2 linked regions of the Neodiprion lecontei genome follow. The protein of the gene in region 1 interacts with the protein of each later gene in a biochemical or structural test. Links are inferred from orthologs where the notes say so. Each region holds a gene or a part of one and is shown in the gene's direction. Other genes may lie near its edges.

What was found.
Region 2: of the proteins of serine/threonine-protein kinase Warts (region 1) and MOB kinase activator 1B, one has a biochemical effect on the other in vitro, tested with the Drosophila melanogaster proteins (2 studies listed by BioGRID). The link is inferred for Neodiprion lecontei from reciprocal best matches to the Drosophila melanogaster genes wts and mats.

What each region holds. Positions count from the first base shown.
Region 1 is NC_060260.1:180,940-185,757, forward strand, and holds the start of serine/threonine-protein kinase Warts, read left to right. Parts: upstream 1-1,705; 5' UTR 1,706-2,375; intron 2,376-2,543; 5' UTR 2,544-2,979; intron 2,980-4,818. Other genes in the region: uncharacterized protein LOC107221828, read right to left, coding at 308-409, 509-747, 852-853. UniProt on the Drosophila melanogaster protein: Negative regulator of Yorkie (Yki) in the Hippo/SWH (Sav/Wts/Hpo) signaling pathway that plays a pivotal role in organ size control and tumor suppression by restricting proliferation and promoting apoptosis.
Region 2 is NC_060266.1:18,783,700-18,791,946, forward strand, and holds the start of MOB kinase activator 1B, read left to right. Parts: upstream 1-2,229; 5' UTR 2,230-2,523; coding exon 2,524-2,537; intron 2,538-3,064; coding exon 3,065-3,231; intron 3,232-3,935; coding exon 3,936-4,163; intron 4,164-4,299; coding exon 4,300-4,463; intron 4,464-5,167; coding exon 5,168-5,248; 3' UTR 5,249-8,247. Other genes in the region: heterogeneous nuclear ribonucleoprotein H, read right to left, coding at 272-530. UniProt on the Drosophila melanogaster protein: Coactivator of Warts (Wts) kinase in the Hippo/SWH (Sav/Wts/Hpo)signaling pathway, a signaling pathway that plays a pivotal role in organ size control and tumor suppression by restricting proliferation and promoting apoptosis.

The sequences.
Region 1 (4,818 bases):
AATGTTGGTGATTTTGTATATTTTATTTCAATTCATTTTCAAGTTTTGTACAAAACTTAGTGATTGTATAACTCGGAAGTTCAGATTTGGTTATTTATATGTATAGTGAACGCTTATTTTGAATATCAATTGTGTATAGATTGTAAATAGTAAATATAAATAGAAAATAAATGTCAATTTTAACTAACAGTACAATTTGCAGAAAATTCCTGCTCTTGAATTTTGAGTGAACTTCCAGTTAATTAAATTAAATGTATGTACAAATTCATTCGCTGATTTTCCTATCAATACTTTTTTACAATCTTACCACGAATATCTGGGTTCTTGTTTTCCTTATACAGCGTAGTCGAAGGTCCATCTTTTGAGGGTATGACATCATCCGATGGAATTCCGCTGACGTGTGGTTGGTCTGGAATTAAATTTTTCAATATAAGTAAAATTTTAATGTAAATGCAAAAACAATTGCTTGCATTTGTTTGCAAGAGCCAATGATACTGATTTGTTTTACCTGCTATCGCAACACAGCTTGTTTGAGCCGAAATTTGCAGATCCTTAGACTCTGTATGCAGCTGTTCTTGGCGATGATTACCGTCAACAGGTCCATTCAATGTTGGAACTGCATCACACGTTAGTAAACATCGTGGATATTTTTTCCAGATATATTTTGGCTCAAAGTGTTTGTTACATACACGAAAATCTCGCCGGTTCGGATTCTTGGCTCGGATGAACTCATGCCATTTTTTGCGCCTGTATTATGAAAAATCATGATGTACATTTGTTTTCATAATATATGAAGATACGTGGGGACCCACAACATTCCCGTGAAAGCGAGGTTATATATTCATACTTACATACAGTTGCTCTTTTTTTGGTAACGCGAAAAACGTCACTCGTCCTCCATTATTTATGCTTTGATTTTTGATATATTTGTAATTGTAACATAATTTGACGTCACAATAAATTGGCATCTTTGGAAAAATGTTTGTTTGTTATCCAACGTTTACCCAAAGATTATAGCAACGCGTCATCACACCGACAATACTAACGCAATCACATCTTCACTAACGCTACACGTACGCGTTATATTTTTCCTCTGAGCCGCTAGAGGCGCTGCAATAGGGCGATACGGGTAAGATAATATATATTATCTTAGATGCGGGTACCTTCCACCAACTAAAATAATGTATATATTATCTTAGCCTGCTCGAGGCCCAGATCAAGGGGTCCACATGGGCTTCACTCTGTCCGGAGAGCAATGCAGTATGCATAGGCATTGCATGTACATACATACATACGTAGTCTCACATTGGTAAATGATTGGTAAACACAGACGGTAATCTTTTGAAATCAAGCAAGAGTCCGGCGGTAACAGCAGTGCCCACACTTATCGACTCACTCATGAGGATTACAATGATGATTAAATCGGTAATGGTAGGAAGTTTTTTTTTTTTACCAATGCTTCCTGCACCTTCACATACTTTCCTACTTTAACAATATATAGTGATCGAAGGTGTAAAACGTGTAGAAAGTGTTGCTAGCACGAACAAACCCAGTTGTGTGTGGTTCACCGAGTAACCATGGTAAGAGCGACGATAATGCAGAAACCTGAAGTTACCCCCGAGCAGACCCGAACTTGGTGCACCAAAAAGCTGTCACGCGATGTAATCCGAGGTTGGTAATCTCTGACATGAGCGTATTGTAAAGTCAACGCCTGTGGAGTTCGGCTCCTCCAGGCCCCTCACGGTCTCTATCTTTCATGAATTGGATACCTATTTTCGTAAATTTGATGCATCTGCCAATGCATACTATTTAATTTCATCCAGAGCATGCGTAAATCTATGATTTACAACCGATACCCAGTTAAACCGTTGAATTCAAATGGAATAGCTTACCAGCCTTAAATGATTCGAAAGTAGCGCCGATATTGATGCCAGTTCAATGAATCTTTCATATTTGTTGGATATAGAGTTAAGCCCTTCGAAGAATCGTTCTTATAAATAGTTAAAAATAACTGCAACTTCGACTGCAATGAATATTTGTAATACGGAATGCTGATATACAATTTGTGTATGTATATACGTACTAGAAATTGTGAAAAAGATTGTCAAGTCAGTGAAGGAATGTGGCACTTCAAAATGGCTGCCAGCCACTTTAGTAATTTACGGCTGTATCTTTCTTTGTTATCGCTTTTATGATTTCGACGAAGTTTTCTCAGTTTCAATTATTTTCTTCGTTGTAAAGTGTTTGCTCTAACGTTCTATAATTATTTCTGGTCCGGTCTATAAACCCTATTATAATGTGACTACGGAATATGCTCTCGATCCTCAGCTGGCATCACTCTCGGTTTAAAGGAATTTATATCAAGATATTCTTGAGTAAGAGGTTTTATATATTTTACAAAAGAATCTACGCACGGCTACTAACAAGCGGCATAAACAATTAGTCGTTATCGGCGATCAATTCGCAAATTACCGAGTCTCTAATTCGGTAGTGTGGTGTATGTATGTCTTTATATACAATTTATTGAAATTGTTTCATTTCAGTAATAAAATATTAGCACTTCGTACTCGTCAGTGAAATAATATCCCCTCAACGTTTTGAAACTGTATTCAACTAGAAAATTAAATAATATATATAGCTACAATGGTGTGCACAACTTGCGCTCTGTAACTTGCCACTCCTATTGGAGATTGATTTTCTTTGGTGCAGCCAGTTTTGCAAATAATTACAACCCTCCAAATGAATCTTATCGTAAGCCTTTAAAATTTTCAAGAGTGCACAGCATTGACAGTTGGTTCAGTGAAGTGAATTCAAGTACCAAATTCCACGTACAGTGATCGGCAACAAACTGGTTCACAAGAATTTCTTACCATTGTGCCTCTTAACAGTGCTAAAAAATAAACCATTGGTGTTGAATACTGCCATGTCAGCGAAGGATTTCATTAAGGAATTACAATACTAGCTAGCCTTATTTGTTTGGTAAGCATTAGTAACTCTACATCATTGTTTATAAAATCTACCATTCTTATTCTTATTAGCGTCATCATCATCGTCAGTATCATCATTGTCATTACTTCCGTTAGGAGTTGTAGTACTCTTCGTCTGGAGACCAAAGCATCGCAGGAGAGAATATATATTTTCATTATGGATTTTGTGTACACGAAAATTCATGATTAAGTTTTACACATTTTACCTCGGCAACAAGTATAACACTCATCATTTAATATTTAATTCATGATGTGTCCTTAGTGTAAATCTAATCGAAGTTTAACAAGTTCTATTTATATTTAGCTTTTGATATTGATATGACAAAATAACAGCATGCAAGTCATGCTGAAGTCACACAGGAGTCATATACCATTCCTACTAAAACATCCTAAACTTTGACAAAGTCAAGTGAAACTCGTATTCTAACCTTCTGAGGGCGATAGGAACTAGAAGCATGATTCAAACCTCATGTGTGTGCTCGAGTTTCAGATAGCAACGGAATATAACAATTCATATAAAATCGAGCGGTTGTATAACAGAGGCAAAGCATATCCTTATCTTACCATACTCTAGTGTAACCTCAGCGTGACTCGTGTTCAGTCACTTTCTATGCGAATATCCATAGCGTTATGTCTATAACCATTTGAAAGTCCTATTAGCCTCTTTACTTTGATCTCATATAGTAATTACTTTATTTAAATTTTTTCTATACCATTTGTGCACATACATGCATGCTGGTGTTGTTTTGTCAGGTTGTTGAACAGGTTTAAACTGACAAATTATATCATCAATTCTTAGCACCTGAGAGCAAGCATCTTGTTAGATGCTATAATGATTTATTTACCATGTCCATCGCTTTTATGATTAAAAATTTTACTAGAATGAAATTAAAAATGTAAGTTGCATATGAAATTATGCCACAGCTGTGTATGAAACTCGAGGATATCGTGAATCTTGCATACGTCTGTCATTACTTGTGACAAGTTCGAGAATCATTAACTCTACTGTTCAATTGAATGATCGGTCAAAAATTTTATTCCATTTCTTCCATAAAATACACGCTCGAGAGAAAACCCCTAATGTTGTATGATTCTTTTGGGTCTGTTATATCATAAATAAAACCACCTTATTATAATATTCCGTCAATCGAAGGTGGTCGCCAAATAAATAGTCAATTCGATTTGAAAGTTTTTCACTATCATAGTCCTGAGAACACCGCAAATGCGATTCACATTTGGACCATACCAACTACACATGTACAAAGATAATGCGTTTTTACTTTGAATTGAACTACATTATTTACAATAGAAAATAGAACTGAAACGGGATTCAAATTGTCGTAACCTTTTGAAAGAAAGTCTCACGCAAACCCAGTATCTTTTGAATCATTAATTGCAGTGACTCCAGAACATTTGCAACTGTTTTCCTTTGCAAAGTGACATCGATATAGCATATGAAACAATTAATTCTAACGTTGGTCAAAATTGGTCAAGATTTTGTCAAACATCAAAAGAGTTTGCAATTTTTATAGCTGAAAAACTTATTGGCTGAAAATTGATTTCTAACAGTTTTTTCCGTCGAATTGGGAATTCTTGAGAACTCACAAAGCACAACCAGAATTGTGTAAACTACAAAATTCTGTGCCTTGCAACACAATGGTTTTTTTTGCCCTACTTGCAATGATAGAAACATTGCAAGTATAAACACAAACATAACATTTCAATACAAAGATAAAATTTGAATTACAAAATTTATGATAACTTCAAATCCATTTCTCACTGTGACTTTTTCCGCAATACATTAACAAATATCTGCAGGCAAACCACCAAA
Region 2 (8,247 bases), on another chromosome or scaffold:
TTCGTCGCAAGGTAAAACAGTCAACCTCTCTTAATTCTATTTCAGTCTTGCTTAATCGTAATCACGCCATTATGTAATTAAAATTTTTGCTTGAAAAAAATACATTGTGACCACTAAATAAAAGCTGTGCAGTAAAATTTTTTAGCATTGTGAAAATTAAATACCTATATAAGCAGTGTTTTAAACCAAATCATAAAAATTTCAGATTGCAACAAATGTCTTGATATTTCCTGGTTTCTGTATAAGTGAGAAATGCAAACAAGTAGGATACCTTCGATGTACCGATGTCCCATGTGATCTCTATCTCGTTTACATGCCTTCTCGATATCCTCTTCCGTGTCCATTTCAATGTATGCTTCACCGCTGGGTCTTCCTTCTCTCGACATAGTCATATGAATGCCGGCTTTGCCATGCGAAATGCTACAGTCGTTGAAGAATTTCAATATCTCATCGACGGTTGTGGACCAAGGTAGTCCTCGTAGTTTTACGACGTACCCTTCCTCGTCGTGATCGCCACTTCCGTTCGACATGCTGGTCTGAGTGGAAAGGGAATGAAAATTTGAAACACGAATATGAAAAATTGTAGGGTAAAGAGGTTGCCTTAGTCGATTTCGACGTTATCGGAAATACGTCCAAATATCAAAGTCCACGTATCGCAAGTGCAAAAAAGGGTTTAACAGCCCCATTCTATACGTAATTCTGAACAAAAACACCCCGAAACATTTTCATTTGACACAGCAGTAAAGAAACGGCTTGAATTCTATGAATTTACTGTTACGATTTCATAGAAACCGTACCATTTCTTTACTTCTGCCTCAGGTCAAAATTTATTGCGAGTTTTTATTCAAAACTGTCTATAGAATGAGGCTTTTAAACCTCTTTTTGCATTTCAGGTACATGAACTTCGATATTTGGAAATATATACGTCAACAACGGAATCGATCAGGGTACCTTGATGAAAAATCTGTGATATGATTACTCATCAAATTGAAAGTTTAACTCACATCTTACGATGCTTGTGAATTTTTTTCATCAAACTCATGTCACTGTTACCAGCTGATTAAATAAAAGTTACCAGCTCACTGAATAAAATTTCAGAAATAAGTGTTTCAAGCTAATCATGTGATAAAATTTTTTATTTTGAAAATCGGTATTGAAACATAGAAATAGGCTAAACTTGGTGGCCAATTAGACTAATTTTACAACGATATGAAAATACACAGTCAATTGTTATTGTCTTGGTTGGTCAATTTTCAACTGCTAAATGACATGAAATGGAAATAATGGTCAAAATTGATTCAGCGTAGTGGCCAGGCGATTTAGTGTATTGGGCGGTATAAAGTTCTTACTTTGCATAAACGCAATTTACGAGTTTAAATTGAAGTGTTGATTCTCGCGTCGAAGTGACGCTTGAGAAAATATGAAGGTAAAGATACGTACAAATGCATGCACGACGAATGAGCCGTAAGGCGATTATATTATACTCACGGTTTACGGTGATCGGATGGTATCAATGTGTGAGAAAGGAAAATGCGGCGATGGTACGTAAAATATGTAGATTTATTCTTGTCCCTCGACGATATTTATTCCGCACAAGAATAGTCCGGCAAACTTGCGCCTACTTCTTCTGTGCAAACGCATCCAACTCCGATTAATTTGCAAATGGCGATGTTCGTTCGTTGCGCATAGACAATTAAGAATATATATAGATTGTTCGCTGCTCTACGACTCCAAGTCACAACTCCAGTAGTGACATCTTAGAGAAATGGGATAATTTTCGAGACGCATGACGATAACGGACTACTACTCTGCCGTATTTTAGCATCACGGAAGCAGTGGATGTTTGTAATTTGTCCGGTTGCGACTACTGATTTTCGTAAATATGTGTTGTACCATTCACTGCTTTGTCATCCTTATGTTGTAGTTATGCAGCAATTTTTTTTTCAATTTTGCTTGGAAAGTTCAATGTTTGAATCCTGTTGAATGTGGCCCTTCAATCTTCCGGCTAACTCGTTTTCAGCCTAAAAACAAAATGCAACTTCGATTCTATATGAATTTTGCAACAAATTAATCGACACAGGGTGCGTTCCTGAATCCCTCTATCGCAACGACACTCGTGGTCACTAGGCGAAACGGCCGGTGCTTCAATAAGAGGACATACCCCCATCACCAGAGTTTCCAGACCTGAATGTAAGACCGTGGTTTCATGTTCTGTTTAGTGTTGTCTGGTTCGCTCTGACTCCGTCTGGCGCAGCGAGGGCGGTCCTGTCGACTGCTCGAGGAACGAATCATCGCGGATTGCGGAGTCAAGGAGGGCCACTGAGGAGGGCAGCAGTTAACTCAACCGAACCGAAAACATCTGTGGACACACCAAAAAACTGAGGATATTCCCATGTTTATCGCTGTCAAAGTTCCATGCGCATTTCGATCAGCGTGATACCGTACTTTTTCACATAAATATCAAGGGAATAGTTGGAATTTCTCACATAGTCAAACAAATAGCTGATCAAAATATCTCCAACGATGAGCTTCCTGTTGTGAGTACTACTACACTTCGGAACGGCCTTTCTTTTTCCTCTATTTTTATTTTTATTTTTCCGTATTTCAGTTAGTCACTTTTTTACAACACCCGAGTACACTCACGCTGACGAGAGTAACACAAAAAATCGAGTTGACAATAGGCCTGTTGTTATGTATACTCTTTATCAATTCACCTATAAATATACCTATGCCGTTTCGTCCCCAAATCGATATTTTATCCGTTCTAAAATGCCTCATTGTATCGTATTTGACAGCTCTGTCTCGCTTTCTCTATCTCACTTCCTCTCCCTCTCTGTGCCATTTCTATTTCATATTATTGCCATTTAAAGTTTCTGACCTGCACTTCGAACAGAAAATTTCGAAACTAAGTTCATGACAAAGTGATCTCTGGTTTGCATAGTGTTTTTCATACTTCTTTATACGACCAGTTTGTTAAATAGACTAGATGTTATTTTCAATTAATCAGAAACAATTCTTTGCCTGTTTCTTTTTATTTCATATCATGTATTTTTCAATAACTTAGCGGAAGCCGATCTTCGAAAACTTTCAAGCCAAAGAAGAATATCCCTGAAGGGACGCACCAGTATGATTTAATGAAACATGCAGCGGCGACACTTGGCTCAGGAAATTTACGTCTGGCGGTGATGTTACCCGAGGGTGAAGATCTCAATGAATGGGTTGCCGTTAACAGTGCGTAACTTATCTTCTCTGAAATTCATGAATGAAGGCAATCTGGACTCGAGTCACTTCGCATTTTCATGTGTTTGTCAATCAAACCCACCAATTTGAATTATACTTTGGATTTTTATTTGAAATGATAGATATTATTTGAACGAAGTCATGAGTTGAATTGGAAAATTTCAATGATATCTTATTACCTTGTTATGTTTGGGATGAAATCAGGGCCGAACCATTTGATAAAAACTTTTATATTTCGATTGCAGAATGCCCGTATAGTCAAACTTTGGAGATTTTGTGCCCAATAAAAAACTGCATCGTGTCTATAAAAGACGGGATACATGATTTTTGAATTAATTAACTTAAGTAATCACCGTTGCCAGTTACAATATCAGTTAGGATGCGACAAACCTACAGTTCAGTTATGCATTGGCTATAAATTTGTGTTATCTGCTTTTAATTATGAATCAGACTTGAACAACTTCCTCTATGTATAATCGCAGTGTAAGTATGCGAGTAGTCTGAATCATGGAATACGATTCTACTACAGATGAATATATAGTTGGATTGTGTGTAAATTCACGTATTACATTAAAATTCATGAATTTGTTTGGTATTTCGAAGCCATGCCAATCTGAAGTGGACAACATAAATCTGAATTATTGACAATGAATAACATTCTGGGTTTAAATTTGTATCGGAATATTTTTTTTCAGCTGTCGATTTTTTCAACCAAATAAATATGTTGTATGGAACCATTACGGAGTTTTGTACAGAAGAGAGCTGCCCGATTATGTCAGCTGGTCCGAAGTACGAATATCATTGGGCCGACGGCCACACTGTGAAGAAACCAATCAAGTGCTCTGCGCCCAAATATATTGATTACCTAATGACTTGGGTGCAGGATCAATTGGATGACGAGACTCTGTTTCCATCAAAAATTGGCTAGTATTCTAAGTATTGGCTAGCTATTAATCATCACTAAAGTATATATTGTTATGAGCGTTAGAGTTGCGCATACAGAAATTTTACTTTTAATTTTAAATTTGTGTTAACGGATCAAATTTACTACACTTTTAGGAGTGCCGTTTCCAAAAAATTTTCTCTCAATTGCCAAGACTATATTAAAGCGCTTGTTCAGAGTCTACGCACATATTTATCACCAGCACTTCAGTGAGGTTGTTCAACTGGGAGAAGAGGCACATCTTAACACATCGTTTAAGCATTTTATTTTTTTCGTTCAGGTAAGCAAAACCACGATATAAGTATTAATATCGTGAAGTCGTTCTTACAGTTTAGAATTCAGTGCTTATTATTCAGAGACACGGATCTCTTTTCTGAGGATGCATGTGTATGACTAATTCGGTTTTACACTCAACTTCAACTTCATTGATTATCAGCCATTAATTATACTATCATATTTTTCGCAACCTTGACCGAATTTTTATTTAAAGGCTATATCTCACTAACTATACTTTGCACTTGTAAACCAGTTCTGCATGTAAGTATATTAGCTAGGTACGAATTTTTTTTTAGTAATATCAAGCACTACAAACCTTACCGCATTTTCGGAATAATACATGATATACAAGTGGCCTTTTTTGCAAAATTAATACCTAAATATTAGTGTTATTATCTTGAATATTTCAGAGAAAACGCATTCGTTACATAAACCGAGAAAATTTTGGCTCCAAATTAAAAAAGTGTAATTCGATTTTGGTGTAAAATTGGAAAAATTGTACAGTAAGAGCTTCTTTTTGGAGAGTTTTACAAGTTCTTATATTAATAAAGTCACATACACTTAATAAAGTTGTTTGGCCAACTTTATATTAACAATAATTTCGATATTCTGGCTCCCATTGTATTGTGCAAAATCATTCTATGCATGTAAACTGTATTTAATTCAGCTGAGAAAATTCAGTTTCGACATCATGATTATTGTTTCTAGGAATTTAACCTAATAGACAGACGAGAATTAGCCCCATTACAAGAGCTAATTGAAAAACTGACTGCAAAGGATGCTCGATGAACACCCTCCACTCTGATCATCGTCTGTGAAGCCTCTCCAAAGAATCTCATCAATGCTATCTCTGTTAACTATCTATCATATAATAATTATTTTATATTATTTAAATAATCGTATCGAATCATATTTCAAAGCAAGTCTAATGCCGAGTCAAAAGCCTTCGTACGGCTACTCTTCTTCATTATATTGCAGTTTAAACTGTGATTAAAGCTTTTTCAACAACAGTAATTAGTTTTGTGCACAGTTCGCAAAACATTTTTTTCCATTGATCTAGTGGATGAGCTTAATATCATGTGAAAGCATTTGGTGGAAAACAATATAATTCACTCATAATAATTGAACCCCAAATGATGTGCTTCGAACAGATAATAAGTCAATAGGTAAAATTTCAAGACAAAATTGAAATGTGTGAATACCTATATAAATTATTGTTAAATAGATGAATTATTTTCAACGTTACGCTGCTTAGAATTGTATGAACTTTTTTTTATATTTATTTAATTTCAATTTTTTTTTTTTTGTGCTGTTGAAAGACATCTGTGTAAGTTTCTTTATCATACTATTAGTTGCAAATTTTTCTTCAATTCTTAGTCGTTGAATTCAATTAAATAATGAAAACAGTATAATAAAATTTCCTAGCATGTAATGTTTATTGCTGTGGAAGGTAGGCTGTAGACAAAAAGGTGATGATTTGTACTTCAAAACAATTTTCATAAGTTAAATAATTTTATATTCAACTTATCGATATACGTGGATATAAAAACCGATTTGAACTTCATTGCAAACATGAATCGTCATAGAATTTCAGAATAACGCTTGAGTCAATCTCGTATGTATTAAAAGAATATTATGCGACCCTTTCGTTAGTGCTTTTTTGTCTCAGACGAAGAAAAATTTTAAAAATGCCTTGAAATAGGTGCAAGTAATATTATCCGTGTACGTCTAACAATATTAGATATTTGTTACGTAGTCTATTATCAATTATACGGCGAAAGTATACGGCAGAGAAATAATATTGAATGTGAAACATTGCACCGTGTTGACTATATAAGGGTATTAATGTAATTTATATTAATAGTTTTTATATTAAACACTTATAAAACGATCGATCTATAGAAATACTAATCTTTTTAAGAAAAATACGAAATGAAAAAATTAAGAAATTCCAAAACGATACATGAGAAGAACTATACTCAAAAGTAGAGTACAAGTGGATCAAAGCCAGAATGTTTGCATGACCTTTGTCACGTAGTTAGCATTGTTTACCGTTTTCAATTGGAATGGTATTGTCAATCTGGACAATGTGTAGAATAAATAAAACAAATGATCTTGAGCCAGATGGTGTATGAACATCTAGGAAAAATAATAACAAGTACTGCATACATAAATTGAATCTTGTGGCAACGATAACTTTGTTTCTTACTTTCTTTTAAATTCTATGTACACTGTATGTATTTCATACCGTTTATCTTAGTAAAATATTGAATTTAGAATTTTAAGAAAGATAGTCGTAAAAATAGACGAGATAAAAAGAAAGTATCTATTTAAGTTTTCATCTATTTTAACGATTAATCTTCATTGAAGAGCTTTTAAAGAGAATTGTTATGTTTCAGACATACAATGGGAACCAAACGTTGAAATCGTTGAGTAAGGCGACTCTGACGACGATTTCGTTAACGATCTAATATTTAAACAGCATGTGTATTATTAATAACTAACGTATAATCAACGTCCAGGACTCATTCCGCTTACCCTAATTTTTGCTCTCCCTCTATTGGGAATTTCTGTATATATATGCGACAAGCTAATTAACTGTCTGTATAGAAACCACGAAAAGAAAGAAGAAAATGAAAAAAAAAGTGCATACCGGTCTGTTTATGCTGAATTAATATATTTCGATGTATTCATTTCGATCATTTTTGAGAACTTATATTTTTTAAGAATTTACATAGAATACGTTTTAAGACAAAAAAAAAAAAAACAAAAACAAAAAAAACGAACAAATATTAATTTTTTACTTTTAGCTTATACATAGTAATTAAAAATATATATGCGTTATTCACTAATAACAATAATAATAGTAATAATAACAAGAACATCAATTATAATTGTTATCATTATTATTATTGTTATCATTATTCTTTGTACGGAAGATTTTCGTGTACATATTTATTTTTATGTTTTTGCTTGACAAATAATAATCAATTTATTTAAGAAGTAGTCCGAACTCAATGTCGTACCCACATCTATATACGTATAGATGAAGCAAAACTGCACACTATTCACTGTCTAATCTGATATTAGAATGTAAATGTTTTGATTTTCAGCTGAATATACGAAATACCGCTAATGCTAATTTCATTACGAACATTGAGTAGTATGAATATGGATTGCGTAGTTGCCACTGAAAAAAATTAAATTTAGATTTAAAAAAATTAATAAATAAAGCATAGTTTCATGTATTCATAACTGTAATAGATAGGCACATACATATGTTATTACTCACAATAATTCAGCGCTTTTCTTCTGAATCGACTTCTCATTCAACTGTCTTACTAAACTTATGTAATTATATACATATTCATTTGTGATATTCCGGCACTCCCAAAAATTACAGTGGAAATTTTTTGCCTCGTACGAGAGCATATCAGAATGCAATTTTGTAACGATGATGTAACGATACGGATAAAAAATCAATTGTGCGTTTGGTACTTATATTTTTCTTCGATTATTAATCTGCAGTATAAATAATAAAATCCTGACATGTTTCAGAAGTCTTATTGTTAAAAATATTTAAATCAATATGCAAAAACACATATCCAATAATATATACGTAGGTACAACATTCGTTTTTTTTTTTTATTAATAATATTACTGCATACATTTTACCAGCAGTAAATTTCCCGTACCATCAAGTAAAACAAATTTTTGTTAAAATTATGTCGAACCTGATTTTTTTAAATAGACGAACAGGATGGTGAAACGTTTTTATCTTTGGTACA